4 linked regions of the Oryctolagus cuniculus genome follow. The protein of the gene in region 1 interacts with the protein of each later gene in a biochemical or structural test. Links are inferred from orthologs where the notes say so. Each region holds a gene or a part of one and is shown on either strand. Other genes may lie near its edges.

Region 1 (7,077 bases):
GGAGAGAGTGAGTACACATCCAGGTTAGGCCAGGCTGAAGCCAGAAGCCCCAAACTCCATTTGGGTCTTGTATGTGGGTAACAGGGACTCAAGTACTTGGGCCATCATCTCCTGCTTTCCCAGGTGCATTGGCAGGAATTTGGATCAGAGACAGAGTAGCCAGGACTCAAACTGGCATGCAGCTATGGGAAGTTGTGTCCTAAGTAGCAACTTAACCAACTATGCTACTGTGCCCACTTGTTTTTTCTTTTTCCTTAAAGTTGTGATTCCTTGCTTAGTTTGCTGCGAATTATTTTTCTCCCTCATTGTTTTGGTTTCAGTGTTTTTTTATTAAGTATTGTCCTCAAATATGTGGTGCTCCTCAGGACAATAGGACCTGAATAACAAAAGCCTTTGTGTGTTGATAAGGCTTAGCAATTTTGAACTTCACCTTTACACTATCTTTTATTTGGGAAAAGCTGGATGTTAGTATCTTTAGGTATTTCCCCTTAGACTGTCAGAGGACCCAGAGAAGAGGCTTCCAGGCTCCTGTGTGGAGGGTATCCGAGAACTCCTGGTTACTGGTGTTTCTGGAAGCTGAGTTGGGAGGATGACTGGCATTCTTGGTATTCATTGTATCAGCCTACTCTTAAAACCTCATTTTTGGGGCCGGCGCTGTGGTGTAGCGGTGCCACCATCCCATATGGGTGCCGGTTCGAGTCCCAGCTGCTCCGCTTCCAATCCAGCTCTCTGCTGTGGCCTAGGAAAGCAGTAGAAGCTGGCCCAAGCCCTTGGGCCCCTGCACCCACGTGGGAGACCCGGAAGAATCTCCTGGTTCATGGCTTCAAATCGGCACAGCTCCTGCTGTTGCGGCTAACTGGGGAGTGAACCAGAAGATGGAAGACCCCCTCCCATCCCCCCCCCCTTCCCTCTGCCTCTGCCTCTCCTCCTCTCTCTGTGTAACTTTCAAATAAATAAGTAAATCTTTAAAAAAAAATTTTTTTTTTCAGTATAATGTTCTTGCCCTTACCTGTACATGGTGTCCCCCCAGCCCAAAGACATTTCCAAAGATTAAACCTTTTTGACTGAGGTATAGAAGAGGATTTGGGAGGGATTGATCTGGGTATCTGCTTCTTAAACAGCTATTCGACTGCCTTTTCTTATTTATTTATTTATTTATTTATTTATTTTGACAGAGTGGACAGTGAGAGAGAGAGAGACAGAGAGAAAGGTCCTCCTTTGCCGTTGGTTCACCCTCCAATGGCCGCCGCGGCCGGCACGCTGCGGCTGGCGCACTGCGCTGATCCGATGGCAGGAGCCAGGAGCCAGGTGCTTTTCCTGATCTCCCATGGGGTGCAGGGCCCAAGCACCTGGGCCATCCTCCACTGCACTCCCTGGCCACAGCAGAGGGCTGGCCTGGAAGAGGGGCAACCGGGACAGAATCCGGCGCCCCGACTGGGACTAGAACCCGGTGTGCTGGCGCCGCTAGGCGGAGGATTAGCCTAGTGAGCCGCGGCGCCGGCTTTTATTTTTTTTTATTTTGAAGTCCCATCTTCATTTTCCCTTCAGAGGTACCTGGAACATAAATTTCTGGGGTGTGTGTAGTGGACACGAAACTGCTCTGTGCTTTCTCTGCTGCTGGTTTAGTACTCAGCTTCAGTCAGCTTCTAAACTAATGTTGCTGTTGTCTCCTCTCCCCTCATCCTTGTTTAAAAAAAAGAAATTCCTTTTAATCCACTTTTCAAAGAAGATAGAGCTAAATGTGTTTGTTGGTCCTGCTCCCTCTAACTAGAAGTCCACTCTGCCCTTTTTCCTTGGTCAGGGGTAAGTTGTACCATCACTTGGAGGTGTCAAGTATGTACTTGGGTAAGCAGAGAAAATACTTCATTTTTCTTTAGAAAGTAATGGTAAGAAATCTTAACACTTTTACATGTTTTTGTATGTTGAGGTCAGAGTTGTTACTGAAAAAGCTGTCATTTTTGCCTTAATGAAGTGCTTTTTGCTTTTATTATAGATTCGGTTTTCCAATTTGGCAGCAGCACGGCAAATTTCAACTTCACAAGCAATAATCCAGCAGGAGTTTTCACATTTGGTGCAAATTTTAGCACACCTGCAGCCTCCACCCAGCCGTCAGGCTCCGGGAGCTTTCCCTTTAACCCGTCTCAAGCTACATTTACAGTGGGGTAAGAGAACGTTTTGGTGAAATGGGAAATTTACATTGATTATTTTAGGTATGTGATGTTTTTTTTTTTTTTTTTTTTTTTTTAAATTTTTGACAGGCAGAGTGGACAGTGAGAGAGAGAGACAGAGAGAGAAAGGTCTTCCTTTGCCGTTGGTTCACCCTCCAATGGCCGCCGCTGCAGCCGGCGCACCGCGCTGATCCGATGGCAGGAGCCAGGAGCCAGGTGCTTTTTCCTGGTCTCCCATGGGGTGCAGGGCCCAAGCACCTGGGCCATCCTCCACTGCACTTCCTGGCCATAGCAGAGAGCTGGCCTGGAAGAGGGGCAACCGGGACAGAATCCGGCGCCCCGACTGGGACTAGAACCCGGTGTGCCGGCGCCGCAAGGTGGAGGATTAGCCTATTGAGCCACGGCGCCGGCCTGATGTATGTTTTGCTGTTAAAAGTCATCAAGGTGCAGTGAAATGTGTTCTCCCACATCAGTTTATCACACTGTAATTTGAGGGGTCATAAAGCCTGAGAAGTTAACAATAATGGGTTTGCTTAGGTATAATAGTAGAAAATGTGTTTCTTTAACAACATAAGTCTTATTTTTCCCCCTTATTGGTGATCATGTTAAATGATTCTGGAATTTTGCTTTGGTCATTGTGTCACGTGAGGTTTTTTTTTCAAAGGTCAAATGGGAAAAGCATGTTCTCGTCTTCTGGAACTTCAGTTTCTGGTCGCAAGATAAAGACTGCTGTTAGACGAAAGAAATAAAGGTCACGATGGTATTACGTGCAACAGTTTGGCAACAGCTGGTGTCCTGCTTTCAGATACTGGATTATACTGTGTGCTGGGGTTATCTGAACTAAGATTTGCCTAAGGACTTCTTAAATTTTGGAATTTTCCTCCTTTTCTTTATGGAAGCCCTACCCCTGCCTCTGCCACTTCCTTATAAAAAAATAATACCTAGACTGGTGACTGATTCTTCAGCAAAAATATTTTATGATCCAGCAAATTATTCACTGATTTGGCGTAGTCTGGCTGTACCCAGGAATAGAGCCTGCACGGTGAATGGCTTTGTATAGAACCTCTTCGTGTGCACCGCCATGTGCATTAATAAGCGTTTATGGAACACATTGAAATTGTAACTATATCTGAGGAATTCTGTATAGATTAGGATTCTGTGTAGATTAGAGGATGTTGAAATGAATGATTTCTATGCCGAGTTTGTGCTGATGTGTGTGAAGTGAGTGCGTCGGGTGTATCGTGCACTAAAATTTTCTGATAGAGGAAGCCTGATTAAAAAGAGTGGTCCATGCTGAGGACTTGTTAGATCTCACTCATCCTACATTTAATAATTATATGCTACTTCTCTATTTTCATTCCTCTAACTATCGCCTGTCTTGCCTTTTTCATTATTTTATTATGAAACTTGTGTAAATACAATTTTGTTTCTGTACTGTTTTGGCATAACATAAAGTCTGTGAACTTGAAATTTTAATTTTGTGTTAGAATTTTTTTCGTTGTTGTTTAGTCTTGTCTCAGATTTTATTATGTAAATCCCATTATTCAAAGTTGCCTAAATCCATTTGGAAATCTTTAAAAAAAAATTGGGGATTCTTAAAGTTGAATTTATTGGCTTTTCTGATCCAGTTTTATTTGGACCAAAAACCAGTATTGTACAAAGTATTAAGCATATATTTTTATATTTACTGAAATGGACTGTGGTGACTTTGGATAATAAGGAAAAGTTTAATATTAAAGCCATGTTTATTACAGTATAATTAACATGTTAAACCATGGGATAAATGCCATCAATAAAAAAATTACGAAGCACTTTTTGTTTTAGTTTTAACTCAAAATGAAGGTTCACAGTATTAATGGTCAGGGACTTTTCTCTGCAGATTAACAGTGGTCAGATACTCCAAAGAACACATTTTAAGTGTTCTAGACAACATCTAGGAGGAGGAGAAAATATTTGAGTTTGCAGCATATAGGAGGCACACTGCTTATTTCCTGGTGCTAGGAATCATACCTAATTTTCCACGTAGATTTACATACCTTTTTTTAAAAAGTTGGAAATAAATACCACAACCATTTGTCTGTACTTGCGTTTTCCTTGATAGGGACAAGACTGATTATTGATTGAATTCTTTTGGATACCTAAAACAGTTCACAGATACCGTGGTGTTCTTTTTGTATAATTTCTTTTGGATTACTGTTATTTTTTTTTTTACATCCATCCCCCCCCCCCCCCCCCACTGTGGCTCACCATAGAGCTCTTGGAACAGTATTTGATAGTTTTATTTCCCTTGAATGTATAATTATTATTTGGTGCATGCTTTTAATTGCTGGACTTTGGTTGGCTGGAGTTGAAATTTGGAAATGAATTTCTGAAGCCTTGGGGGCCACCATTGTGTGGCGCAGCAGGTGAAGCTGCTGCTTGTCACCAGCATCCCATAGGAGTGCCAGTTCAAGTCCCAGCTACTCCACTTCCATTCCAGCTCCCTGCTAATGAATCTGGAAAAGTAGCGGAGGATGGCCCGGGGGCTTGGGCCCCCCTGTACCCATTTGGGAGACTGATGGAGTTCCAGGCTCCCGACTTCAGCCTGGCTGTTGTGGCCATTTGGGGAATGAACCAGCAGATGAAAGATCTTTTTTTTTCTGTTTCTCTCCACCTCTCTCTAACTCTGCCTTTCAAATAAATAAATCTTAAGAGTAACTAGCCTTGCATTTAAGACTGCCCATATTGGAGTACCTTGGTTCAGTACCCACTTAAACCTCCTGACCCCAGCTTCCTGATTCCAAGGGCCCTGAGAGGCAGTGTGGAATGCCTCCAGAAATTGTGTCCATTGCGGACACCCATGTAGGAAGCCTAGGTCAAGGCAGTGAATGTTTGTCTTTCTCTGCCTCTTAAATATAACACTTGGGCTGTTTTTTTGTTTCCAATGAAAAGATGTTTTTCTGATCTAAAATATCTTAGGCCATCCTCTGGTGCTAGTTTGGGTTTGGAAATTCTGTATTTTGACTTGGTTAATGCTACATATTTGGGGCTGGTGTTGTGGTGCAGTGTGTTAAACCGTCACTTGGATGCCTGCGTCCTATAAAGGAACGCCCGGGATCATCACCACGTCTCAGCTCCTTCACTTCCTGTTAAAGCACCTGGCGGGCAGTAGGTGACGGCCCAGGTGCTTGGGCTCCTGCCACCCCCATGGGAGGCAGGTAGAATTGCTGGCTCCTGTCTTCGCACTAAGAGAGATCTTCCATCCACTGGTTTGCTCCCCTAAATGCCTTCAACAGTCAGAGCTAGGCTAGGCAGGAGCTAGGAACTCCAAGTTCTCCCATGTCAGTGGCAGGAACATCATCTGTTGCCTTCCAGGTATTTTAGCAGGAAGCTGGATAGGAGGCTTGGAGTAGCCATGACTCACTGATACAGGAGGCGAGTGTGCTATATGTTTGATACTTAGCTGTTTGGAAGGGGAGGACGAATAGTGGTGAGTGCTGGAAAAGGTGTAACTGGGAATCTGTCTTTGCTCAGAAGTTACTGCCTGGGTCTGGCGTTGTGTAGTATGTTAAGCCTTAGCTTGCAATGCCAGCATCCCTTATGGGCACCAGTGTGAGACCCTGCTGCTTCAATTCTGATCCAACTCCATGCTAATGCACCATGAAAAGCAGTGGAAAATGGTCCAGATGTTTGGGCTCCTGTACCCATATGGGAGACTGATGGAGTTTTAGCCTCCTGACTAGCCTGGCCCAGCCATTGTAGCCATTTGAGGAGTGAATCCACAGATGGAGATTCTCTCTCTCCTCCCCACCACCATCACTCTCTCCTCCGCCCCCTCCCTTCCTTTTTCTCTCTCTCCCTTCCTCCTACACATACACACACCCTCTCTGTAACTGCCTTTCTAATAACAAATAAGTTAATGCCCAATTACCTTGCAGTTCAGTTCTTAGCCATTCTGTAGGCCCAAGAGGTTGGAACATTGGGCTTTCTACTTTTCTCTAGAAATGTGTTACTTTCTCTAGAAATGTATACTTTTTCCTTTTTTAAACAAATTCTTGAAAGCTGTACTTAAGCTGGCTTTTGATAAAGATGAAGTCTTGGGGGTGTGTTTAGCTTAATTAATGATTAAGATGTCTGTGTCCCACATTGAGTACCTGGGTTGATTTCTGCCTCTGACTCCAGCTTCCTGCAAACCCTGGAAAACAACAGTAATGGCTAAAGTAACTGGGTTCCTGTCACCCACATGGGAGACCTGAATCTGCCTTTGCCTTTGCAAAAAAAAAAAAAAAAAGGGCTTCCCAAGTTTTTAGGACCCTATTCAGATTTTGATACTTTTTTTTCTTTCTTTCTTTTTCTTTTTTTCTGACAGGCAGAGTTAGACAGAAAGGTCTTCCTTCCGTTGGTTCACCCCCCAAACAGCTGCTATGGCCAGCGCACTGCGCTGATCCGAAGCCAGGAGCCAGGTGCTTCCTCCTGGTCTCCCATGGGGTGCAGGGCCCAAGTACTTGGGCCATCCTCCACTGCACTCCCTGGCCACAGCAGAGAGCTGGCCTGGAAGAGGGGTAACCAGGACAGAATCCGGCGCCCCAACCGGGACTAGAACCCGTGTGCTGGCTCCGCAAGGCGGAGGATTAGCCTAGTGAGCCGCGGAGCAGGCCTAGACCCATTTCTGATCTACTCCCTGTGATTATAACTGCCCCTTGAGTTACATGTTTCATGCCTAAGAGGTAATTGAGGACTATTCGTGGAACAAAGGGAAACATGTTGAAAAGGAAATGTGACGAATGGCTTTAATGGAAGAGACTGAAGGAACAAAAAGTCACATGCGGTAAGTTAATAATTGGGTGCATTTACATAATGTGGCCAGAGTGTCTAGTTCTAACATATTACTTGATGGCATGTGTCAAATGTGTGTTCTTAATTGCTCTCA
Region 2 (7,964 bases), on another chromosome or scaffold:
GGAGGGTGTTTCTCCATGAAGTTGATAACTTCGAAAGCACCACCTTGTTCAGGAGCCTTCGTTTTCGCTCTTGATGAGATTTGGATTGTATGGGATGCAGCCATGGAATAGGTGTTTGCCATTTTTCGTCAGGCTCTTATAAATAATGTTATTCAAGTGTTTCTTAGCTTAGTTCAAGTGTGAGAATAATTTGGGATTAAAAAGAAGACTACAGCAATTGCACTGTTTCATATATCCTTCCGGAGGATGCTTTTGAGAACGCTATTTTAAAATAGTATACGCTATTTTAAAAGAATTATGTGTTTGAAAGGCATAGTGACAGAGAAAGGGAGAAACAGATGATCTTTGATCTGCTAGTTCACTCCCCAAATGGCCGTAGCAGCTGGGACTGGGCCAGGCTGAAGACAGGAGCCCACGTTCCATCTGGGGCTCCCATTTGGGTAGCAGGGCCCTGAGTATTTTGGCTGCTATGTGCTGTCTTTCAGGCACATCAGCAGGGAGCTGGATTAGAGGTGGAGTAGCCAGGACTCAAACTGGTGCTGCAGTAAGGGATATAAATGTTTTGCCTTGGGCCGGCGCTGTGGTGGATTGGGTAAAGCCACCACCTGCAGTGCCGGCATCCCAAACAGGCACTGGTTCGAGTCCCAGCTGCTCCACTTCCCAATCCAGCTCTCTGCTTGGCCTGGGAAAGCAGAAGAAGATGGCCTAAGTCCTTTGGCCCCTGCACCACATGGGAGACCTAAAGGAAACTCCTGGCTCCTGGCTTCAGATTGGTATAGCTCCAGCCATAGTGGCCGTTTTGGGAGTGAACCAGCAGATGGAAGACCTCTCTCTCTGCCTTTGCCTCTGCCTCTCTGTAACTCTTCCTTTTAAATAAATAAATAAATCTTTAAAAATAAAATAAAATAAATGTTTTGCCTGAAAATACTTCCCCTGTTTATAATGTGGTAAAGTCTGTATAGCAGAATTTGCCCCCCTAACCATTTTGCAGTATCTAATTATCTTCACCTTGCTGTGGAACCAGTCGGCAGAACTTTGTCATCTTGTGGAACTGAAAGTGGATCATTGAGTACCAGCTCCTTTCCCAGCCTCTGGCCACCAGCGTTTCTCTGTGTTTGCTCTCATACTTCATAAAAGCGGGATCACACAGTGTTTGTCTTCTGTAGCTGGTTTATTCCACATACCATGATGCTGGAGGCTCATTCATGTTGTAAGGCTGACTCATGTTCAGGAACTCATCTGGGTCTCACGTGGGATGGCAGGGGCCCAAAGATATACAGATATACCACATTTTGTTTAAAATCATCCATTTGGGTTGCTTCCACATTTTGGCTATTGTGAATAATGTTTTTTATTTTATTTTTTATTTGAGAGGCAAGAGTTAACAGAGAGACAGCTATCTTCCATCCACTGGTTCAGTCCCCAAACGGCTGCAAAGGCCGGAGATGGGCCAATCCAAAGCCAGGAGTTAGGAGCTTCTTCTGAGTCTCCCACACAGTTACAGAGGCCCAAGCACTTGGGGCCATCTTCCACTGCTTTCCCAGGCCATAGGCAGAGCGAGCTGCATTGGACAGCTGGGACATTAACCAGCATCCATATGGAAGTGGAGGCTTAGTCTACTGTGCCACAGTGCCAGCTCCAATAATGAGGTTTTTAACATGGTGGCAGATTTCTTTTGAGACCTACTCTCATTCTTTTGGCGGTGTATCCATGAGTAGACTTCATGGCTCACAGGGTCTGCAGGTAATTTTGGGGGTATGCTTGTTTTTGCTGGTTTTTGGCCTTGTGTTGGAAAGGTATAAGATGACAGAGCAACCTTTATTTCTAATTGATTAAAAAACAGGGCTTTCCTTTTAAATTTCAGATGTAGAAAGGTAACAAATGAGGTTCTTCACTCTGTTCTCCCTTTTCTCCTGACATTGGATGGAGCTTAGCCATCTTGCAGAAAAACACATTTGGGGGTCTCTAAAATAAAGCAGATGTTTTGCATCCTCTTAACATCTTTTTGTGACCTACGTTTTCCTGTCTACTTCCTGAACTCTAGTTAGTGAAACTCAGTTTGTGGATTCAAAGATTTGGGACTTCTTAAGGGCAGGTTCTAGCAGACCCTGGAGGTGAACTTCATGGCCTTCTCCAGGCCACCACTGTTCAAGTAGGAGTTGCTGATGATGCCAGGCTGTGTGGACCCAAGGAGATGAGAAGTTTTATCTGTAGAGCCTAGGAATTTTCCTGTGCATAGTTTTTGCTTCCCTGATTATTTTTATTATTCTTGCAGTCCGAAAGGCACTTTATTATGCAGGTGGTCTGTGAAGCCACACAGTGTCCAGATACGAGGGTAAGTGTGAGATCCTACAAAAAATCTGTTTTAAGTCTTCCCTATGAAATGCCAACTCTCACATACAGTTTGAGATACTAGGAGTCAGACTAAAGAAATAAGGTTTGCTTAATACTAACTAGATTACTAACAATTTTTCTCCAACATATTGGAGAAGAAGGAATAAAAGTAGTCGTATACTACCTCAAAAGTTATTTGGAGGTTGCTGTCCTCTTAAAGGTTTACTTTCTTGCCCTAGGTTGTCCGAGTGATTGTTCAAATATAGCCATTGAAACAGGTTTAGCTGTTGCCCTAATCTAAGTGCGACTCCTAAGCAGGTGAAAGTGACACATTCAGTTCGAGTAAGCACCAGTGAGTTTAGCTCTGTGTGTGTTGCACAGGTGCTTTTAAAGCAAAGGGAAGGACTAGAAAACTGGAGGGAGGGATCATGAAAAATGGAGGGCAGATAGCTTTGGGGAGCAGTGACAGACAGCACTGTCATGTGTGCTTCCATGAACCTTCAGATCACTGACTCAGTTGAGTGAATCTACATTTGTGTCATTATTATTTTAGTAAACCATTTAATCTCTTTAAAGGTACGCGTGGCTGCTTTACAGAATCTGGTTAAGATAATGTCACTGTATTACCAGTACATGGAGACATACATGGGTCCTGCTCTTTTTGCAGTAAGTATTTTGATTTTATGTGATTTGCATTTATAGCTGATTGCAGAGCCCATCATTCTCATTGCCGTTTGGTTCATTCTGTAATCTTCTACTTACTGTTAGGAAATCGGGGGAATCTGAGAGTTAAGTTTATGCCCAACAGCGGTGTGCCCAGGAAATGTGGGCTATCTTCATGTTGGTAAACAGTGTACTTAAAAAACCTGTTTACCTTTCATTTCAGACCTAACTTTCATAAGTTATAGTTGAAACTGGAATGTAGTTGAAGAGGGGATTCTAACTTGAATCAGTACTTACTTGGGGCTTGGGTTTTCTTTTTTTTTTTTTTTTTTTTTTTTGCTTAAGATCACAATTGAAGCAATGAAAAGTGACATTGATGAAGTGGCCCTACAAGGAATAGAATTCTGGTCCAACGTCTGTGATGAGGAAATGGATTTGGCCATTGAGGCTTCAGAGGTGAGCGGGGAGCTGTTACTCCGGCCTGTGAACATCATTCTTTCTCCCGGGGAAGCGTTATTCCGGGTAGACTTGGGGGGGGCACCACTTGCAGGGTTTTTCTGCTGCGGAAAGGCCCTCTTTATGGAGACCAAGAATAGTTTTTGACCCTCAGTAGGGCGTGACTTACTGAAAGTACTGGTAGGAGCACCATGAACACTAGGGGGCAGCAGGCTGTCACGGTTTTCCCAGGTGATGCCTAACGCTCACTTCTTTCCAAGGTCCTAATGCAAGTCCAGGATGTAACTGGTGAGGGAACCAGATAAGGGGAAAGAGGTAACTTTGAATTCAGACTTTGTTTCCAGCCTTGCTTATCTTTATTTGCTTCAAAAAAAATCCAGACTTATTTTTAGCATTTTTCTATCTCTTGATCCAGAGAGCACTTAGATGTCAGGTTGTTAATAGGAATCGAGCTTATGGAAGAGTAATGTAATTCTTAAAGTGGCCTTGGTCCTTTAAGGCAGATATATGTATATGTGTGACCTACAAGAATCTCATTGGAGGAGACTCAAATGCTGAGCACCTCCAGAGATCACAGTGAAGGTCTGTGATCGCTCCTTACCGTGTGTTTCTCTTACAGACCCCTAGGCACCTCTCGTTATAGTTATAGCCCTTGCTATCTTAGCTTGTTGGCTTTCTGTTTCTCCTTAGGCAGCAGAGCAAGGACGGCCCCCTGAGCATACCAGCAAATTTTATGCCAAGGGAGCACTACAATATCTCGTCCCGATCCTGACACAGACACTGACTAAACAGGTGAGTTCTTGGCCAAATCGAACCAGATGTGCTACAAAACTTGATTCAGGTTGGGTTGGTGGGGAACAGTTTCCATGACAGGCCTGGACCGCCCATCTGTGTAGGTAACTCAAGAACAGCTGAGCTGGATCTGTGAGATCCCTGGGGCCCTGAGCAGAGTATGTGGAGATCTGGGTCTAAATGTCCCTGATGGGTCTCCATCAGGAATGAGCCACACACTGCTGTGATTGCATGAATGCTAAACTGTCCGGACTGACAGAGAAGAGCTGTTTGTTCCAGGCTACTGGAATATCTGTTCCTCTGTCTCTCTCCCCCAAGAGGACGACACGGCGCCGAGGCACTGTCTTGTCTACTTCCCTCCCCCATTATTTTCCCTTCCTGGCTCTATCTGCTCCTGAACTATGCCCACGTGGGTGTGTATTTACTTTCCCACCTTCTAAATAAACTTCACCACTTGTGCACCAAAAAAAAACTTTGAATATCTAGGATGGATGCTTTCAGGGTTTCACAGAATATATTTTTAAATGCTGATAAGGGTTGTGTGTGAGTTTTTCATATGGAACTCTGTATTAGAATTAATATGGGGGGGGGTCAAAGAAATTGCTCTACTGATCCTATAAGACGATTAACATAAATATAAATATAAATACAAGGCAAAATAAATGGCAGTAAGATTTCCCAATGATTTGGGTGTAGTTAGGAAAAGAACAGTTACTGTTAACACATCTGTCATGGTGCCATTTTTCTCTTAACTGGAGGTATTGTGTCACCTGGCATCTGGTTTCAGAAGTTCCTGTCTCCTCATCTTTTCCACACGTGACATTTTTGCTGATAACTTGGAACACTGCAAAATGTGTTTGTACAAATGAATGTAATTGTTTTGGGGGATTTACATGACTTTATATAACAGCAGTGTAAAAGATAAGTAGAGAGATGTTTGGTTTGAAATGGACTTGGTATTCCCCCGTAAGTTTTCATCTCATCTGTCAATTGTGTGGGTTTTTTCGTTTGTTTTTTAAAGAGTTGCAGAGAGAGGGAGAGACAGAACCAGTGGCCAGTGTTGGGACAGACTAAAGCTGGGTGATCCAGCCTGGTCTCCCACATGGGTGGCAGGGGCCCAAGCACTTGAGCCATCCTCCACTGCCTTTCCCAAGCCATTAGCAGCAGGGAGCTAGATTGGAAGTGGAGCCGCTGGAACATGAACCAGCACCCGTATGGGATGCCGGCGCTGCAGGCAGCAGTTTCACCTGCTACACCACAATACTGGCCCCTCATTTTTAATTTTTTGCAGTAGCTTTTTTTTTTTTTTTTAAGATTTATTTGAAAGTGTTAGAGAAGGGGAGAGACAAACATCTTGTATCTACTGGTTCACTCCCCAGGTGGCCACAATGGGCCAGGCTGGAGCCAGAAGCTTAATCTGGGTCTCCTGTGTGGGTGTCAGGGGCCCAAACACTTGGGCCGTCTTCCATTGCTTTTTCTAGCAGGGAGCTGGATCAGACACCTATATGGGATGTCAGCGTCACAAGTGGCAGCTTTACCCGCTACGCCAGCCCCTTACAGATCTAGTTTTTTATCTTAAGTTATGTATATGGTTTTCTGAAACTGTGTAGGCAGCCAGCCTTAAATTACTACATATTGTGAATGGCTGCAATAAGGAACTTGGACCTGAGGTCATAATTTTTTTGTTGGACAGATAGGGATAGAAAGGTCTTCTATCCACTGGTTCACTTCCCAGATGGCTACAACTGGGGTTGGGCCAGTCTTAAGCCAGAGGCCTGGAACTCCATCTGGGTCTTCCATGGATTGGCAGGGGCCCAAGTACTTAGGATATCTTTTGCTGCTTTCTCAGATGCCTCAACCAGGGGCTGATGGACAATGGGGCAGCTGGGACTCAAACCAGTACTCAGAGGGTTGCCATAGTTACAGGTGGTGGTGGCTTAACCCGTTGCACCACAATGCCGTCCCCTGTGACTTTGGATTCTAATACAGTCCTTTTTTGTGTGATTTTTGTTTATGAACATTTATTGAATTGTTTTTATTTATTTATTTATTTGAAAGTCAGAGTTACACAGAGAGGAGAGGCAGAGAGAGAGAGAGAGGTCTTCCATCCACTGGTTCATTCCCTAGATGGTTGCAATGGCCAGAGCTGTGTCAACCCGAAGCCAGGAGCTTCTTCTGGTCTCCCATGTGGGTGCAGGGGCCCAAGGACTTGGGCCATCTTCTGCTGCCTTCCCAGGCCATAGCAGAGAGCTGGATTGGAAGTGGCGCAGCTGGGTCTCGAACCAGCGCCCATATGGGATGCTGGTGCTTTAGGCTAGGGCATTACCCTGCTGCACCACAGTACCGGCCCCACATTTATTGAATTGTGACTGTTAATAGCACCTCAGAGGCTGTTTTCATATATTCTTCCCACTTGTGAACCCCCTTGCTTTCTTGACCTTTAATTCCATAGATTAATTTTGGTAGATTTTTGGACCAAAATCATGTACCTTCCGCTTATTTGGTCTGGCTTTTTTTTTTTTTTTTTTTTTTTTTTTTTTTTTTTTTTATTTCAAAGGCAGAGGCAGAGAGATCTTCCATCTGCTGTTTCAATCACAGCTCTGCAATGGTCAGAGCTGTGCCTATGCAAAGCCAGCAGCCAGGAGCTTCTTGCTCTCCCACGAGGGTGCAGGGGCCCAAGCACTTGAGCCATCTTCTGCTTCCCCAGGTCATGGCAGAGAGCTGAATCACAAGTGGAGCAGCCGGGTCTTGAATTGGCATCCATATGGGATGCTGACACTACAGGCTGCAGCTTCACTTGCTGCGCCACAGTGCCAACCCCCTGCTCTAAAGTTTTGTTTATTTGAAAAGGAGAGGGACAGAGGGAGGAGTCTTCTGTTTGCTGGTTCATTCCCCAAATGCCCTCAACAGCTGGAGCTGGACCAGGCTAAAACCAGGAAGCCCAAGTTCTTGGGCCATCATCTGCTGCCTCCCCAAGTGTCTTAGCAGAAATTACATTGGAAATGGAGTTGCTGGGACTTGAATCAGCACTTGACTAATGGGATATACATGTCCCAAATGGCAGCTAAATTTGTACCACAAAGCCCATCCATATACATATTTGAGACTGATGTTTGTTGTATGCAGCCAAAGTTTGTTCATTCTGTTGTTTTGTGTAGTACTAGGTAGAATCTTTCATCTGCATCTTGTATGAAGATTTGTAATTTAGTATTTTTGAAAGGCATTTGAAAGAAATCTTCCATCTGCTGGTTCACTCCCCACATGACCACACCAGCCAGGGGGCGGTGTCAGGCTGAAGCTAGGTGCCCAGACTCCATTTGGGTCTCCCACGTGGATGGCAGGAATCCAAGCAGTTGAGTGGTCTTCCACTGCCTTCCCAGGTGCATTAGCAGAGAGCTGGATCCGAAGTGGTGCAACTGGTAATTGAACTGGCCCTCATGTGGGATACTGCCCATGCAGCTTAACCTGCTACACCACAGCGCTACCCCTTATTTTGTAATGTATCACTGTGGAAGAGATCAAATATAAAGGCTTGGTGTTGTATACTTCCTTGGAGTTTACGTTGGAGTGGTCAGAGAACCTTTTGAATTAAAATCATTCTTAGCACCACGTTCTTTCACCAGGATGAAAATGATGATGATGATGATTGGAACCCCTGCAAAGCAGCAGGGGTGTGCCTCATGCTCCTGGCCACCTGCTGTGAAGATGACATCGTCCCC
Region 3 (7,964 bases), on another chromosome or scaffold:
TCTGTAGGTGATCATGAGCAAACGCTATGACGGCTCTCAGCAAGCACTGGATCTCAAGGGCCTGCGTTCAGACCCAGGTACGGCTGGCAGCAGTAACTCAGACAGGTCACGTAAGGGGGCTCTGTCAGGGAGGGAATGTTGAAGAATGATTAGTGCTGCCGCTGGCCTGGGCAAGTCCTCTCAGATTTTTCTTGCTTTCTTTTCTGCTTCCTGAAGATTTGTTGGCCCAGAATATCGATGTTGTACTGAATCGTAGAAGCTGTATGGCAGCTGCCTTGCGAATCATTGAAGAGAATATTCCAGAGGTGAGGCCTTTGGACCAGTATCAGGCGTGGGAAGCAGCGAGGGATCGATGGCATGGGGTCAGCGACAGACTTGCCTCTGATCTACTCACTAGCAGCACTAAACTCTTTTCTCCCTTATAGCTCTTGTCCTTGAATTTGAGTGACAATAGGCTGTTCAGACTGGATGACATGTCCACCTTGGTACAGAAGGCACCCAACCTAAAGATCCTAAACCTCTCCGGGAATGAAGTAAGAATTGACGGGCTGGCTGTGCTTTTGATGGGGTGGCCAGAGGACATAGTGGGCTTGCCCGGTGATGGCGACAGGCAAGAGATGAGAGTCGGGATGGGAGGTGTGAAGTCCAACTGATGTCTCACCAGGTTCTCTCCTCCCTCTTTTCCCATCTTTTGCAGTTGAAGTCTGAGCGAGAATTAGACAAGATAAAAGGGCTGAAGCTAGAAGAGCTGTGGCTTGATGGAAATCCCTTGTGTGACACCTTCCGAGACCAGTCCACCTACATCAGGTCAGTTGTGGCCTCTGTCTTCCCTCCTGGGGACCTTCACCCCCTGGGAGGCTGAGCTAATGCACCCTGACCAGTGCCCGTCTGCAGGAGATGTGCAGCCCTGAGCTGGAACCACCTGTCCTTTGGGAGGATCACGTGCTCCTCTCTCGTCTGTCCATGTCTCCCAGCCTTGCCCTGAGATCCCCTGTCCTTTGCTTTTCACCTGACCGCCTGTTTGCTGGTTCTTTGGCCTTTCTCCTTCCTCCCTGAACGCAGCCTTTTCTGGAACTTGCCCACCCTATTGTTCCAGGAAGGACATTTCCCCTTTGTGCTCTGACTAGGAGATGTCTCTTATGTGCCCCATAAATGGGGTTGCCTTGGGCCTAGAGCCTGGTGTCCTTGGGCTGAGAAAGCCCTCCCCACTTGGAACTTCCTGCTAAGACAACTTTCTCTTCCTTTGTCCTGTGATGGCCCCTCTTGCCTTTGTGCCAAGAGGGACCCTTTCTCATAATCCAGTTGCCTAAGGCTGTTGCCTGGGCTTTCCGGCACATGCTGAGGTTGAGGCCTCATGGGGGCTGGTGCCCTGCAATCTCTCTGCCTGGTGCTGTGAGCTGGGCCCTCCCTGGAGAAGAAACCTGGGTTCCCCAAGACATGTGACCAGAGCTGTGGTCTCGCCAGCAGGCGTGGGAATCCCAAGGAAGGTGCTGGGCGTGGAGGCCACGGGGGCATAGGCTACCAAGGAGACAGAGAACTGACCCTGTCAGGGGCACTGCCCCGCTCTCACTCGCACACCTCACGTCACCCTGCTTGGCCCCGGAGGATGGCTGGTTAGCCAGAGACGGGTAAGATTCCTCTGGGAAGGAACAACCTAAGACAGGCACAGTCGCAGAGGGGCCATCAGGAGAGAACTTGGGGGCCAACAGAGGTGGGGCACAGACCCTCACCCCCCCAACTTTGCAGGGGTATGAACCCTCACCCCTTCTGAGGGCTGTCTCCTGCCCCCGTGGCTGCTTTGCTTCCCACGCCTACCCAGCTCAGATCGGGACCCAGGTGGCAGATAGAGACCTGGCCAATAGCAACTGCCCGCTCACCACAGCAAAGATTTCTTCCCCATTTCTGCCTTGGACCACAGGGAAAGGGCAGCTAAAGGAAAAGGCTGTATCCAGGTGTCTTCCTCTCCTATCCTCTTTGATGGAAATGCCTCCTTGCTTTGTCGCTCTTTTGTTTTTCTTGGCTTTCTCTTGCCTTTTCCTCCCTACTTCCCATTGCCTCCTCTGTCTCTCACTTGTCCCATCCCATTCTCCCTTTTTGCTTCCTCTTCTTTTCCTGTCTTTTTCTGTTACCTCCCCTCCCCATGAGCCCCGCCTTGCTCATCTCCCTGCCCCAACATCCTGTGCCATCCTGTGGTGTGCTCTGGTCTTGGCCAAGGCCAGACCTGGCAGAACTGATGGATACCTGGTGAGGCAGCGGAGCCCCTGGGCTCCCACCCCATTCCCTTCTCCCTGGGCTGCACAGGTGAGTAGGTGGAAGGTAAGGGGGGCAGGGAGGGGAAGGATGGCCTGGGCTTAAAGCCTGGGCTGAGAGTGCTACTCTTGTGGCACTTGGGGTTAGGCAGAGAGAAATGTGACAGCCTTCAAGGCAGTCCATGTCTGGGAGCCCTGGGTCAGGTGGGGAGTGTGGGCCATTTTTTCTCTGAGCACAGGCTGGGGAGGAGTGGGGGGATGAGCAGGATGGTATGGGCTACCCTTGGGCCCTGGTGTATTTGCTCCTATAGCAGCCCAGGAGGCACGGTGGCCCTGAAGCATCACTCACTTCTGTCCCATTCTTGACAGCGCCATTCGTGAACGATTCCCCAAGTTGTTACGCCTGGTAAGTTGACAGCTGTTTTCATTTTCTTCTAAAGAGTATAATATCTCCCACTCCCTCTGACAAAAGCTATAATCCTGCTTCCCAGGAAATGCTGCTAGGCAAAAGTTGCATATGTCAGGGTTCATGGACACTTTTCATACTTCTTTCACACTTCTTGCCTGTCATTTGTAGCTCTTCCATCTAGGTAAGCGTGTAGCCATTTTTCCTCTGGTGTATACTCACCTTTCACTTTATCTGCATAGGATGGCCATGAGTTACCCCCACCAATTGCCTTTGATGTTGAAGCCCCAACACTGTTGCCACCCTGCAAGGTGAGAACGGGGACATAGCTAGAATGTGGGGGTGGGGGTACTGGTTCCATGGTCCTAATATCTGTTTGATTCCAGGGAAGCTATTTTGGAACAGAAAACCTGAAGAGTCTGGTCCTGCACTTCTTGCAGCAGTAAGTATCCCAGGGCCCCAAGGCTGCAGAGGGGTTTGGCTGTCCAAAGCCCGGTTCATTCTTGGGAGCTGCTAAGTCCCTCTGTGGCTGCAGAGCTTAGAGTTTCCCTTTTTCTTTTTTTCCTCCCACAGGTATTATGCAATTTATGACTCTGGAGACCGACAGGGGCTCCTGGATGCCTATCATGATGGGGCCTGCTGTTCCCTGAGCATTCCTTTCATCCCCCAGAACCCCGGCCGGTGAGTTCACGTCCCAGAACCTGCCCAAGCCTTCAGGGTTTCCCAGCAGGAAGGGACCAGCTCTGCTAGCAACCAGTGTTCGGACCAATGCCTCTTTTTCCACTAGAAGCAGCTTGGCAGAGTACTTCAAGGATAGCAGAAATGTGAAGAAGCTTAAAGACCCTAGTAAGTGTATGATGTGAGCAAAACAGGATGGGAGGGAATCGGAGCACTTAGGATGGTTTGGCAGCCCCAACTCCCTTCCTCCTCCACCTCCAGCACTGCGGTTCCGATTGCTGAAGCACACACGTCTCAACGTGGTTGCCTTCCTCAATGAGTTGCCCAAAACTCAGCATGACGTCAATTCCTTTGTAGTAGACATAAGCGCCCAGACCGTAAGTGCCTATTTCTTTCCTGATAGACGCCTTAAATTGGGGGTGAGGGTGGAGGGAAGCATTTAAGAGGCAAAGGGGCTCAGGTCCTACCAAGAAGCCTCCAGTGTCCCTAATGCTTCTTTTTCAGAATACATTGCTGTGTTTTTCTGTCAACGGTGTCTTTAAGGAAGGTGAGAATTTGGGGGGGTCCTGAGGTTATAGCATGGTCCCTCCTCCATCCAGAATCTTCTTCAGCACTCTTAGTTTCTCAGCTACCTTCTGTCCCCTTTTCTTTCCTGATCTCCTCCCATTCTGCCACCAAGCCATTGTGCTTGGGCCTGCCTTCTCCACCTATCTTGTCTGCAGTATAGGAAAAGCCTGGGATAGATTAGGAGGACACAGACTTTGGAGTCAGAAAGGTCTGGTTTTCCATCTCAATCTTGATTCTGTGCATCTGTGTGCAAGTTATTATCTCTGAGCTTCATCAGCATCTTCCTTTGTATTCTGAGATGGAGTTGGTAACAGCCAGGTCTTAATGGTGCCATAGGAAGTAAATGAAGTGACTTTTAAAGTACTTTACCCCTGGCACAATACACAAGTGCTCTGTCAGTGGGTTAGTAGTTGTTAGTATTATTATCCTTTCTGACCTCTGACCCTTTGCCCCCCCTACACTCCCCTGCACATGACATAGTTATCCCAGTGTGGCCCACGCGGGGTTCTTTATAACATAGAAGACAGAGAGCTGAGAAGCTATTTCTAAACATAAAGCACAAGTGCCTCTAAAAGGTGGTTGCCGCTCTCTTTGCAGTGGATGGAAAGTCCCGGGATTCTTTGCGAGCCTTTACTCGGACATTCATTGCCGTTCCTGCCAGCAATTCAGGGTAAGTTCCCGGTTTACCAGGTTGGGTACCAATCCCAGTTCATGGCCAGCAGCATGGTAATTGGAGGGTAGAATCAGTCCTCAGGATGTTTTCAGAATCTGAAAGGCAGTGGCAGATCACAGGAAGTGGCTCCCATCCTGGTTAAGGGCTTGGCTCTGGAGTCGGACTGTCTGGGTTTTCATCTTGAGTTTACTACTGGCCATGGACCAGTTTCTTCATCTGAAAATATTATAATAATATTCACTTCCTAAGTTTACTGTGAAGACAGATAAAATACACAGGGGCTCACAGCTGTCTGTGGTCAGATGAGAAACTATGAGTTCAATGTGTTTGGCAGAACATCCTTCCAAACACAAAGCCCAGAGGACAAACTATGCAAATGGTAAAAGGCAGCAGCTAACAGTGGGAAGGGGACTTCGTAGGGTCGCTGAGAAAAGGAGTGATGTTTGGAGATGAGGTTCTTTGACCTGCTGTTGAAGGTGTTTCTTGTCCCCCAGGCTGTGTATTGTAAATGACGAGCTATTTGTGCGGAACGCGAGCGCTGAAGAGATCCAGAGAGCCTTCGCCATGCCGGCCCCCACACCTTCCTCCAGCCCCGTGCCCACCCTCTCCCCGGAGCAGCAGGAAATGTTGCAGGCGTTCTCTACTCAGTCTGGCATGAACCTTGAGTGGTCTCAGAAGTGAGTGCTGAGCAAGTGTAGGAATAGGGGTAAACTGAGGTAGGGCTGGTAATGATTGAGGATTGCTCTATTGGTTTATAAAAATCTGCCCTCAGGCCAGCATTGTGACACAGCTTGTGGTGCCTGCATCCCATATCGGAATCCCAGTTTGAGTCCCAGCTGCCCTGCTTGCAAACTGACCTCCAAATGTGCCTGGGAAACCAGTAGATAGATGATTGGCCCAAGTGTTTGGGCCCCTGCCATCCATATGGGATCGCGATGGAGGTCCTGGCTGTATAGAAAATCTATAGTTACAATCCATACTAGGGATTCTGAAGTGGTAGGTAGTGGTCAGGGTGACTGCATTTTGGTCCTCATGGAGCCACCTGTTCTTCCTCCACTCCAGGTGCCTTCAGGACAACAACTGGGACTACACCAGATCTGCCCAGGCCTTCACTCATCTCAAGGTAAGGTTTGGGAATACAGTGGCAAATAAGAGGACGCTCTGGCCTTTCAACGTGGTCAAGTAAGCTGGGCACGGGTGGCATGGCCTTGGCTCTGCTGACCTTTCATTTTTCTCCAGGCCAAAGGTGAGATCCCAGAAGTGGCATTCATGAAGTGATCCGGTGTCATGTCCCAGAAGCCCCCTGTAAATAGCCTCTGGATACTGTCCGGTTGTCATCCGTCTTTGTCTCCTCCTGTCCGGCCGGAGGCCACCCTGTGACTGTGACCGAGGAGGGAGGGCTGCTGAATCCCTCTCCTCACCCGCCTTCTGGAAGACTTCCGGAAGATTGAGCCTCACTGGTGCCAGGAAGCCAAAGCGTACTTTATAGAACTGACACTAAACTACCCGAAGGACTTAGGTGCTTTGTGTACTTAACCCCAGGATCCTCCGTACTTTTTAAGATAAAGAGTGACAGTTGTATTTTGTGTCCTGCGTGCGGGATTGTTTGGCTTCTGCCTAGAGGGGGCTCCCACGGCTGTGAATTTCCAGGGCTGGAGGCGGGCTTACGGCAGGAAGTCCCGCCCCGGAAGTGGGCCGGCACAGACCATGGCGGCGCCCTGCTCGCGGTGTGTCTTTGGGCTTCTCCGTGCGCAGCCGCCTGTGTTCCTGCATCGGTCCCTGTACAGTGCGACCCCACCGCGGGACGTGCTCCTCTTCCAGCATGAACGGGGCCGCTTCTTCACTATCCTCGGGCTGTTCTGTGCGGGCCAGGGCGTCTTCTGGGCTTCCCTGAGCGTGGCCGTCTTTTCCCGACCCCCAGTCCCAGCGCAGCCTCGGGATGCAGCTCCTAGCCGCTGGGACCTGCGTTCCGCCCTCTGGCGGTATGGGCTCGCCGTCGGCTGTGGCGCCATCGGTAAGTCTGGCTTCCCACCACGTTGCACGACCCTCTCTGCTCAGCAGGGAACTCAGCCTTCCCGGATGGGCTGGAGAGGCAGAGGTCTCCCCTAGAGCACCCTCTGCACCCATCTCCCTTCTAAAACGGGGATGGACGTCTACTCAGGTGTTGACAGAATAACTAAGCCGAGGTCCGTGAACGTCATCACAATGCTTTTATTCAGGAGGCACCGGAAGGACTGGTGCTCGGCCTTCCAGTGAAAACCGCTCACCCCAGTCTTTGCTGTTCCCACAGGAACCCTGGTGCTTGCTGCCGGTCTTCTTTTCTCTCTCCGGTCTGTGCGTTCAGTGATGCTTCGGGCTGGAGGGCAGCAGGTGACACTCACCACTCATGCCCCCTTTGGCTGGGGGGCCCACATCACTGTCCCCTTGAACCAGGTCTCCTGCATGGCCCACCGGGGTGAAGTCCCTGCTGTGTTACCTCTGAAGGTCAAAGGCAGGCGCTTCTACTTCCTCCTGGACAAGGCTGGACACTTCCCCAACACTCAGCTCTTTGACAACACTGTGGGTGCCTACCGGAGCTTGTAAAGAAACTTTAGGTCACTCACCCCTCCCAGAGGGGAATAAAAAGAAATCTTTGAGATGGAGTGACACCAGGTGTGTGCAAATGTGCCCAAGATTCACTGACAGCAAACAAAGGGGAGGAGTCATCCAAAGACAACTCCCTGGTCCCTGTTTCAAGCCTCCCTCCCAGCTACTTGCTTAACATCAAGAATTTTATACCAGATGAAGAAAGTCATATAATATTTTGGTACAAAAACAGCTGTAAGAACGTGGTTGGGGAGGGGCAGTCTGTAGGCTCCCGATATAAATAGGACCACGCAAGGGGCAAGAGGATTGCAGGCACTTGGGCACGGCGTCTTTGGCTGTAGGAGGTGTTCTTCAGTTACTCTTCAGGAATGGAAAGGGCGTGGCCCAACCAGAGCATCTGTCTCAGTGCTCCACTCAGGGTCACCCCTTTCCAGAGGCCGGTATGGGGCGGCTTCAGACTTGCACTGCACGACCTGGAGCACCAAGACCACACACCACAAGACCAGATTCACCCAGGAAGACGTCTGTGGGAGACAGGAGAGGATGAGCAGTCGCTGCAGATCCAGCCTTTCCCACCCACATACCACCCTTAGCTGTTCAGTGTCACACTGACAGCTCCTCAGCTCTCTTCAGGTGCTCACTGGTAGGCCAAGCTACTCATAGTATGCTGAGTGCAAACACCCTTGCAGCTACAGTACTCGTATGAGTATCTGGGCATGTCCGTGAGTCTCACTTCAGCGTTGTGTAGGTTGGAGTAAAACTGCAGAGCGGTTCCAGGGGGTGTCCACGGGATTTTCTGGGCTCC
Region 4 (8,462 bases), on another chromosome or scaffold:
TAAATACATCTTTTTTAATTTTTTAAAATTTATTTATTTGACAGGTAGAGTTACAGACAGTAAGAGAGAGAGAGAGAGAAAGGTCTTCCATTCCATAGTTCAACCCCCAAATGGCCACAACATCCGGAGCTACGCCAATCTGAAGCCAGGAGCCAGGTGCCTCTTCCTGGTCTCCCACGTGGGTGCAGGGGCCCAAGCACTTGGGCCATCTTCCACTGCCTTCCCGGGCCACAGCAGAGAGCTGGACTGGAAGAGGAGCAACCAGGACTAGAACCTGGTGCTCATATGGGATGCCAGTGCCGCAGACGGAGGATTAACCTAGTGTGCCACGGCGCCGGCCCCTCAAATAAATAAATAAATCTTTAAAAATAAATATGGTTGGCCAGCGCCGTGGCTCAATAGGCTAATCCTCCGCCTTGCGGCGCAAGCACACCGGGTTCTAGTCCCGGTCGGGGTGCCGGAGTCTGTCCCAGTTGCTCCTCTTCCAGGCCAGCTCTCTGCTGTGGCCCGGGAGTGCAGTGGAAGATGGCCCAAGTCCTTGGGCCCTGCACCCCATGGGAGACCAGGAGAAGCACCTGGCTCCTGGCTTCGGTTCAGCATGCCATGGCGGCCATTGGATGGTGAACCAATGGCAAAGGAAGACCTTTCTCTCTGTCTCTCACTGTCCACTCTGCCTGTTAAAAAATAAATAAATAAATATGGTTGGAGCACCGTGGTATAGTGAATACAGCTACCACCTGTGACACTGGCATCTTTTTCTTTTTGCTGAGCTGGTTTCCCAAGCCTTGTTCATGAGAATCCAGAACCTTAATTAGACAATTATTCCCTGGAGGAAGCAACTTATGGAAAAATCCTGTAATGCACGAGGTTGATCCTTGTGACTTATGACTTGGGCTCCATTTGGAACCCTCCAGAACCACTCGAGAGGTTCACCCTGTCTGACTCAATGGGGTATTTCTCTCCCACTCTTCTCTCCCTCTCTTCTGGCTGCTTCTCAGTTTTAGCTGTTCAGGGACATGCATGTCTCTCTCTCTCTCTTTTTTTTTAGGTTCTCCCTACGGCCAACCAGAGTTAATTTTAGGGTTGCCACATGGCCTATATTTTAAGTCAGTTCATCCCAAACATACCTGAATTTGTTGAAAATCTGACCATTTTTTTCTCTAATAGAAAATGAAGCTTAAGTTGCAGATTTATCTTTATTAGTAAATAAGAATTGCACTATCAATTTATCTTCTTCAATTACAACAAAGGACAAGAGGGATCAGGCTGGAACTAGCATGGAAGAGGGAAAGGGGGGTGGCTGTTGCAGTGGTGAGAGGAATGATCATGCCCTAAAGGACAGTAGTTCTGATAGATCTGTAGAGAAAGCAGCCTGCCTATAAAAACTGGAAAGCACAGACCAGACAAGTTAAAGGACTGTAGGAGAAGGAAGGAAAAAAGTGAGCCATGAAGCACTTACTTTAGCTGTGCTGGACACTGCCTAGGCCCTTCACATAAACACAATTAATTACTCAGCCCACAGATCTGAGATGCAGGTTTTACTAATCCCACTTTATAGGTTGGGAAAAAAGCCGAGGCGGGGCTTGATGCTATTTTTCCACAAAAGGCAGCCCAAGCCATTTATAGTCAATGTGTATGAGTTTTGTAATGAAATCCAGGACAAGAAAGGAGTGCACCTGGCTTTTGACATGACAAGGCCAGTGTTATTACTAGACAGATTCAGCAAGATGAAAGTTGGTTCCTAGAAGGAAATTAACCTTCAGTGTGGTTAATTATGCTGGATTTTAGGCACATTAGGCCTAAACCAACAAAACCTCCTCTATGGATCCCTAGTCCTGCGTGAAATGGCTCAGAACTCTGTTCTGGCAGGGATCGGCAAAAACAAACTTGAGTTTTTTTAAATCCTTTTTTTTCTTTTTAAACATTCTGGGAATGCTGCGAAAGGGAAAATTTGCAAGACCAAAGAATGGGTTGGTGGGCTGGGTCTTCATTGTTTTGTGGAGGAAGAGGGGGGTGGGGCCCTGGAAAAGCTTGAAGCAGCAGCTCCTGGCTGGGGGAGTGCGGGAATCTTTTTGGGAAACTGCGGCATGTATCTGGAATAGCCCGTACAAGCTTAAGCAATGAAGTTGTGCCCTTCCTGCAGTACTAGGTTGCAAGTTTTCCCAGCCGAAGGCGCAAATCTCTACATCCTCGTAACTCCACGAGGCCTTGGGATTATCTCCTGGCCCTTCGGCGAAGAGCTCCTGGATCCGGGAATGGCTGCCGTGGGGGTGAAGTTGCGATTAAGGGTAATCCCTCTCCTTGGCCAGTGGATGGGCAGAGGCCCATGCCCCTACTGTGGACCACCGGACAGTGAAGGCACCAACTGGCAGAAAAGTCCCAGGTGGGAGCAACTATAAGGATGAGTCTCCATTTCTTCATTGCAGAGGGTAACTAAGAGGACTTGCAGGCCGTGGCAGGAGATAGGGAGGTTGGGGAATGTGAGGGCGGGCAGCACGTTGGTGTGCGTTGCCCCACTCATTTCTGGAGATATCGTTTGCTAAGGACTTGTGATAATGGCTGAAGTCTGTAATATTGAAGCTTTCTCACGTTTCATGGCTCTTACGAACTTTTAGTATTGAATTTGTGCCTGTACAATGAATGAGGCAGGAAAAAAAAAGCAAACAGTTTGGTTTGCACTGTGGTCTAGGAGACTTGATCTCAATTATTTCTCAAGTCTTGGTGACCAGATCAGAATAGGTTGCTATTCCAAAGAAACGAGCAGTTTTCTGATTAATTTGGAAGGGAAACTGCTCTTTTGTTTGGAGAATCCCTTAGTGAGTTTCTTGCAAGTTCAGGAAAGTCTGGGACTCCAGCCTGAACTGAATTGCAGGTAAAAAAACAAGTGGGGTTCTGGGATTTGTGTAGCATGAGAGCTCCCAGGATTGTTTCAGGGAGGTAACCGGATTTTTTTTTTTCTTTTTTATCACTAATCAGGATGAGACTTGTTCTACAGTTGATAATTAACCAGAGTTGCGACCTCTAGATTTTAGAAGGAAGTAATGAGACTCACTGTGCCAGGCCAGGGGAGCAAACAAGTGTATTGCAGGCCACAGGTGTCTTCATCCTCACCTCTGCGAAGCCTTCTTTAGGAGTCTGCTCTTTACCCTGCCTCAGCGCATAGTTTTCCTTTTTCTGGGTCCCCTGCACTTTGCACTATCCTTTATCACAGCAACCAGTCATTCCGTATTGTAATCTAGTTTCTCCCGGTAGAGGGAGGGATCTCAAGGCCGAGGGACTGACGCTGGTATTTATACCTTGGTTCAAACTTCAGCTATACCGCTAGTCAGTTTTGTGATTTCCATTTCCTTTATTTGAAAAACGGGCGAAAAGACGCCCTATTGCCTAGGGTCGCTGAGAAACCTGAAGGAGGTATAACACATTCAAAAGTAGGGGGAATATGTCAGATAAAGGGCGACTGAGCCGGTAGTCTTTTGTTAATTAGCCTGACCTACCTTTATCCTGTATACTCAAAAACTTATTGAGCACTAACAGCGCTCTAGGACCTCGGATGGCTCCGGGGTATGGCTCTCACGTGTGGCTTGTGGGCCTTGTCTCACGGGCCGAATCGGGACTGGTTCCGTACAGAGGAAGCCCCGCCCCCGCCCCCGCTCCCTCGTCAGTGATTGGCCCGGAGATCGTTCTGCCGTTTCTGGTTGCCAGGATCGCTGGTAGGGGGCGGTACTAGGTTGCGCTTGCGCATATCGAGGAGGAAGCTTTCCGGTCGGGCGGGAGGAGGTGACGTCAGGCGCTGTGGCGGGCGGGCGCCTCCCCTAGCTGTGTGGACGTTTTATCTGTGGGCCTTGTTGTCACGTCACAAGTCAGCGACTAGGTCTTGGCGGTGGTGGCCGAGTCGGGGAAGGCGGCAGCGGCGGCGACAGCTCTGGGGTTTGCGTCTCGGGGTGTGTCGGCCGCCGCTGCTGCTCAGGCCTGGTATGTACAGATGGCTGGTTAGGATTCTCGGCACCATTTTCCGTTTCTGCGACCGGTCAGCGCCCCCCTCCCGGGCCCTTCTGAAGAGGCGGCGCTCGAACAGGTGAGCAGAGTGGGCTGAGCGCTGGCTTGGCCGTGCCCCTCCCCCACATCAGGCTCCTCGGCGGGCACTGCGCTGACCCAGCCGGGCGGGCCCTGCTCTGCTTAAGTGGGTCGGAGAAGTGCGGGGCGCGGGTATCCTGATGACGTAGTCGCGCCCATCAGGCTGGTGTGTGGAGGCGCAGCTCGTGATGAACGAAGGGGCTGTTTGTTTTTGGAGTTGGAGGGTGATGGTGGGCTCTTTAATATTCTTGTCAGAGTCCAAGCTGGTGGCTGGCAACACATGGGATTTGGCACGTTTTGCTGCTCTTAGGCTGAAAAATAAAAATTGAAGGAGTGCTGTCTGTGCTGCGGCTCTGTCTACGAAGCACACTCCCAGCTGTCAGTTAAGGGAAGTGAGATTCATAGCTTACCCAAAGCCCTTTTGACTGCGAGTACTGTTCTTTTAGCACCACAAACAGCAGCTGTCTTGTTCTGAAACAGCTGTCAAACAGTGTGTGTGCGGGGCCCCCTGGGGTGAGGGGGGGGGTTGCTTCTGTGCTTTAGAATTAGTATATTAGAAAAAAAAAATTAGGTGCCAGCTCCTTGTTAAAGTTCACTGGTCCATTCCTAAAATTTGGGAGAAACTAAAAACTCTTCCGACTTAGTATCTCCTTGGCTTGTCTCATAGGGTCCCACCTTCCATAAGAATCTAGAAAATAAAGTACCACACAAATTCTGTACACCGCCCACCTTTTCAGCTCTCAAGTGTAAATTTGAGTTTTTTTTTTTTTTTTTTTTTTTTTATTAAGCTGGTCAAGGTCAAGGAAAAGTAGGGAAAAGATTGGTTTCTGGGAGCTTGAGAGAACAAGATGGTTAATACATGAGTCTGAGAATGTAGTCATCAATAAGTTTGATCGCATATACTCCAGAGAGACGTGGTTTCAATTTACTCCTCTTTTTGAGCTTTCTGTAGGGTTAATGTGAGGATAATTTGAGAACATGTTGTAAAGTGCCTAAATTGATGCTTAATATGTATAGAAGTAGTTTATTCTACCCTAAGGGCTTTGTTCAGAATCAGGTGCAGGATAAACATTTGGTGCATACTTAATGTTAATTTACTCACGCTTGTTCTTTCTTTTTGATGTGAATTTCTGCTGATGACTGGGAGTTCTTTACTGCTCTTTAGGGATTCACATCCTTTATCTAAAACTGCTCTTCTCAACATAAGCCAATTTTCAGTCAGGTCTTGAGATGTTTAATGGCAGAATGTTATTTTCCTTGGATCTCATTCTGTTAAATTTTTTAAAGATTTATTTATTTTTGGAGAGGCAGAGCTACAGAGAGAGGGAAAGACAGAGAGAGGTCTTCCATCCTCTGGTTCACTTCCCAAATGGTCGCAATGGCTGGAGCTATGCTGATCCAAAGCCAGGAGCCAGGAGCTCCTTCTGGGTCTCCGATGCGAGTGCAGGGGCTCAAGCACTTGGGCCATCTTCCACTGCTTTCCTGGGTCATAGCAGAGAGCTGGATCGGAAGAGGAGCAGGCTATGTGGGATACTTGGCACTGCAGACGGAGGCTTAGCCCAGTATGTCATAGTACCAACCCCATCTATTAGTTTATAAAAATATGATTAATCATAAGGATTCAGAAAGATGATTACTAGTATACCAAGATACTAATATTCTTGACTTGTTGGTTTAGAAACCTTCCTGATTCCAAAGTCTTTATTGTGATGTAGTTTCCCATGATAGAAATGTAGTTAAATGTAGTTAAATGTATTATCTTTTGCTAGCTAAGAACAGTCTTAAGACTGCATATGTGTCACTTGAAGTAAAACAGAACTTTCTTTGGGGTTGTCTTTCAAAGGGAACTTATTTACTTGTTTTTAAATTATTTCTGTACAGGAAAAGAGAATAATAGGCCTAGGCCTTCCAGGTTCATCTACTAGCTAAGTGACTTCTGCCCACTTTCAAGTTTGTACTTTAGCCTACAGATTATTACATGGTAGAGAATTGGGTTCTTTCTCAGATAGTTGAAACCATAATTCTTCAAATGCTGAAGAACTATAGAATAGCATTCTCTTTTTATTTTAAAGGTTTGTTTTTGTATCTGAAAAGCAGAGTTACCCAGAGGGAGAAGGAAATGGAGAGGAAGATGGAGAGAGAGAGAGAGAGAGAAAGAAAGAGAGCGATAGCGATAGCTATCTTCCATCCACTGGTTTACTCCCCAAATGGCCTCAAACCCTGCTGAAGCCAGGAGCCTGGAACTCCATCTGGGTCTCCCATGTGGGTCGCGGGGCCCAAGCAGTTGGGTCATCTTCCACTTCTTTCCCAGGTGCGTTATCAGGGACCTGAATCAAAAGTAGAATAGCGGGGACTGAAACTAGTGCACATATGGGATGCTGGCTTAACCCACAGTGCCACAACACTGGCTCTACCACATTCTCCACATTTTTTAAAGAAGTATTTTATTTGAAAGCGTTACAGAGAGAGGTAGAGCCAGAGAGAGAGGTCTCCCATTCCACTGGTTCACTCCTCAAATGACCACAATGACCAGAGCTGACCCGATCCAAAGCCAGGAGCCAGGAGCCTCTTCTGGGTCTCCCACATGGGTGCAGGGGCCCAAGGACTTGGGTCATCTTCCACTGCTTTCCCAGGCCATAGCAGAGAGCTGGATTAGAAGAGGAGCAGCCAGGACTTGAACCAGCGCCCATATGGGATGCTGGCGCTGCAGGCTGGGGCTTTAACCCGCCATGCCACAGTGCCGGCCCCAACATTCTCTTTTAAAATGTTAATTGGATCTTATTTTATGACAAAGTGGGTAGAAGAGAGGTATGTTATATGAATACTAGATTTATCTACAGAAATGGATATGTGTGCGTTTATGCGTTTATTCATATATACCAGTATATGCTATTTTTCTTTTCTCTTTTCAGCACTCTGTTTTCTACAGTGGACACTGATGAAATACCAGCCAAAAGACCAAGATTAGGTACTGAAAATTTAAAAAAATTAATTTTTGAAAGGAAAAATGCTTGGAATAAAATTCAAAATGTGAAAATTATGTATAAGCAGTGAAAAGTCTCTTTCCTTTTCCTTTCCTATTTAATTATCTTTTTGTTGTTAAGATTTTTATTTATTTATTTGAAAGGCAGAGGTATAGAGAGGCAGAGGCAAAGATGGAGAGAGGTCTTCCATCTACTGGTTCATTCCCCAAATGGTAGCAACAGCCAGAGATGGGCCAATTCAAAACCAGGAGTCACAACTTTCTTTTTTTTTAAATTTTTTTTTTATTTTTGACAGGCAGAGTGGACAGTGAGAGACAGAGACAGAGAGAAAGGTCTTCCTTTACTGTTGGTTCACCCTCCAATGGCCGCTGCGGCTGGCGCGCTGCGGCCGGCGCACTGCGCTTATCTGAAGCCGGGAGCCAGGTGCTTCTCCTGGTCTCCCATGCGGGTGCAGGGCCCAAGCACTTGGGCCATCCTCCACTGCACTCCCTGGCCACAGCAGAGAGCTGGACTGCAAGAGGAGCAACCGGGACAGAATCCAGCGCCCTGACCGGGACTAGAACCCGGTGTGCCAGTGCCGCAAGGCGGAGGATTAGCCTATTGAGCCGTGGCGCCGGCACGAACTTCTTTCAATTCACCCACACAGGGGCAAGGGCCCAAGGACTTGGACCTATTCTGTTTTCCCAGGCCATAGAAGAGAGCTGGATTGGAAGTAGAGCAGCTGGGACTTGAACTGGTGCCCATATGGGATGCTGGCACTGCAGGTGGCAGCTTTACCCTCTATGCCATAGTCTTGCGCCCCGGCCCCCCCCCCCCCCTTTTAAGATTTATTTATTTATTTGCAAGGCAGAGTTACAGAGAGAAGGAAAGAGAGAGAGAAAGGTCTTCCATTCCCTGGTTCATTCCCCAAATGGCCACAATGGCTGGAGCTGAGCCTATCTAAGGTCAGGAGTCCAGAGCTTCTTCTGGGTCTTCCACATGGGTGTCAGAGCCCAAGCACCTTGGCCATCATCTACTGCTTTCCAAGGCCATCAGCAAGGAGATGGATTGGAAGAGGAGCAGGTGAGACTAGAACCAGTGTCCATGTGGGACACATGCCACAGTGACTACCCCAGGCTGGCCCTTTTAATTATCTTTTCTAGAGGTAACCGCTATTACCAGGGACATGAATATCATTTCAGAAAGTTTAACCAATGTGTCATTTAGAAATTCTAAATCCTTCTGTACAGAAAAGATACTATTTATTTTTGAAGAAGAAACATTGTAAAAACTCCTACAAACTGATTGATCTAGTACAGATGACTGAGTAAACTGATCCAATTTGTTGTTACTAATCATTTACCTCCATATAACTGAAAGGCTAGAAGAGAATAAAAATAGATCAGAGGTAAAGGTGCCTTGGAA

The links.
Region 2: the proteins of NUP153 (region 1) and KPNB1 form a complex in vitro, tested with the Homo sapiens proteins (4 studies listed by BioGRID and IntAct, with this or other methods). The link is inferred for Oryctolagus cuniculus from reciprocal best matches to the Homo sapiens genes NUP153 and KPNB1.
Region 3: the proteins of NUP153 (region 1) and NXF1 form a complex in vitro, tested with the Homo sapiens proteins (2 studies listed by BioGRID and IntAct). The link is inferred for Oryctolagus cuniculus from reciprocal best matches to the Homo sapiens genes NUP153 and NXF1.
Region 4: the proteins of NUP153 (region 1) and SENP2 form a complex in vitro, tested with the Homo sapiens proteins (2 studies listed by BioGRID). The link is inferred for Oryctolagus cuniculus from reciprocal best matches to the Homo sapiens genes NUP153 and SENP2.

The regions. Positions count from the first base shown.
Region 1 is NC_091436.1:144,855,476-144,862,552, reverse strand, and holds the end of NUP153 (nuclear pore complex protein Nup153), read left to right. Parts: intron 1-1,993; coding exon 1,994-2,162; intron 2,163-2,832; coding exon 2,833-2,917; 3' UTR 2,918-3,979; downstream 3,980-7,077. UniProt on the Homo sapiens protein: Component of the nuclear pore complex (NPC), a complex required for the trafficking across the nuclear envelope. Functions as a scaffolding element in the nuclear phase of the NPC essential for normal nucleocytoplasmic transport of proteins and mRNAs.
Region 2 is NC_091448.1:23,996,509-24,004,472, forward strand, and holds part of KPNB1 (importin subunit beta-1), read left to right. Parts: intron 1-2,275; coding exon 2,276-2,335; intron 2,336-2,910; coding exon 2,911-3,000; intron 3,001-3,342; coding exon 3,343-3,453; intron 3,454-4,143; coding exon 4,144-4,245; intron 4,246-7,868; coding exon 7,869-7,964.
Region 3 is NC_091432.1:8,794,461-8,802,424, forward strand, and holds the end of NXF1 (nuclear RNA export factor 1), read left to right. Parts: intron 1-7; coding exon 8-77; intron 78-216; coding exon 217-305; intron 306-425; coding exon 426-533; intron 534-697; coding exon 698-807; intron 808-2,618; coding exon 2,619-2,655; intron 2,656-2,897; coding exon 2,898-2,966; intron 2,967-3,041; coding exon 3,042-3,097; intron 3,098-3,228; coding exon 3,229-3,336; intron 3,337-3,442; coding exon 3,443-3,501; intron 3,502-3,594; coding exon 3,595-3,710; intron 3,711-3,837; coding exon 3,838-3,880; intron 3,881-4,497; coding exon 4,498-4,570; intron 4,571-5,067; coding exon 5,068-5,250; intron 5,251-5,635; coding exon 5,636-5,696; intron 5,697-5,812; coding exon 5,813-5,851; 3' UTR 5,852-6,154; downstream 6,155-7,964. Other genes in the region: TMEM223 (transmembrane protein 223), read left to right, coding at 6,281-6,587, 6,864-7,156; TMEM179B (transmembrane protein 179B), read right to left, coding at 7,522-7,683, 7,893-7,964.
Region 4 is NC_091435.1:95,243,546-95,252,007, forward strand, and holds the start of SENP2 (sentrin-specific protease 2), read left to right. Parts: upstream 1-3,761; 5' UTR 3,762-3,974; coding exon of another isoform or gene 3,975-4,075; intron 4,076-6,146; 5' UTR 6,147-6,281; coding exon 6,282-6,385; intron 6,386-6,986; coding exon 6,987-7,042; intron 7,043-8,462. UniProt on the Homo sapiens protein: Protease that catalyzes two essential functions in the SUMO pathway.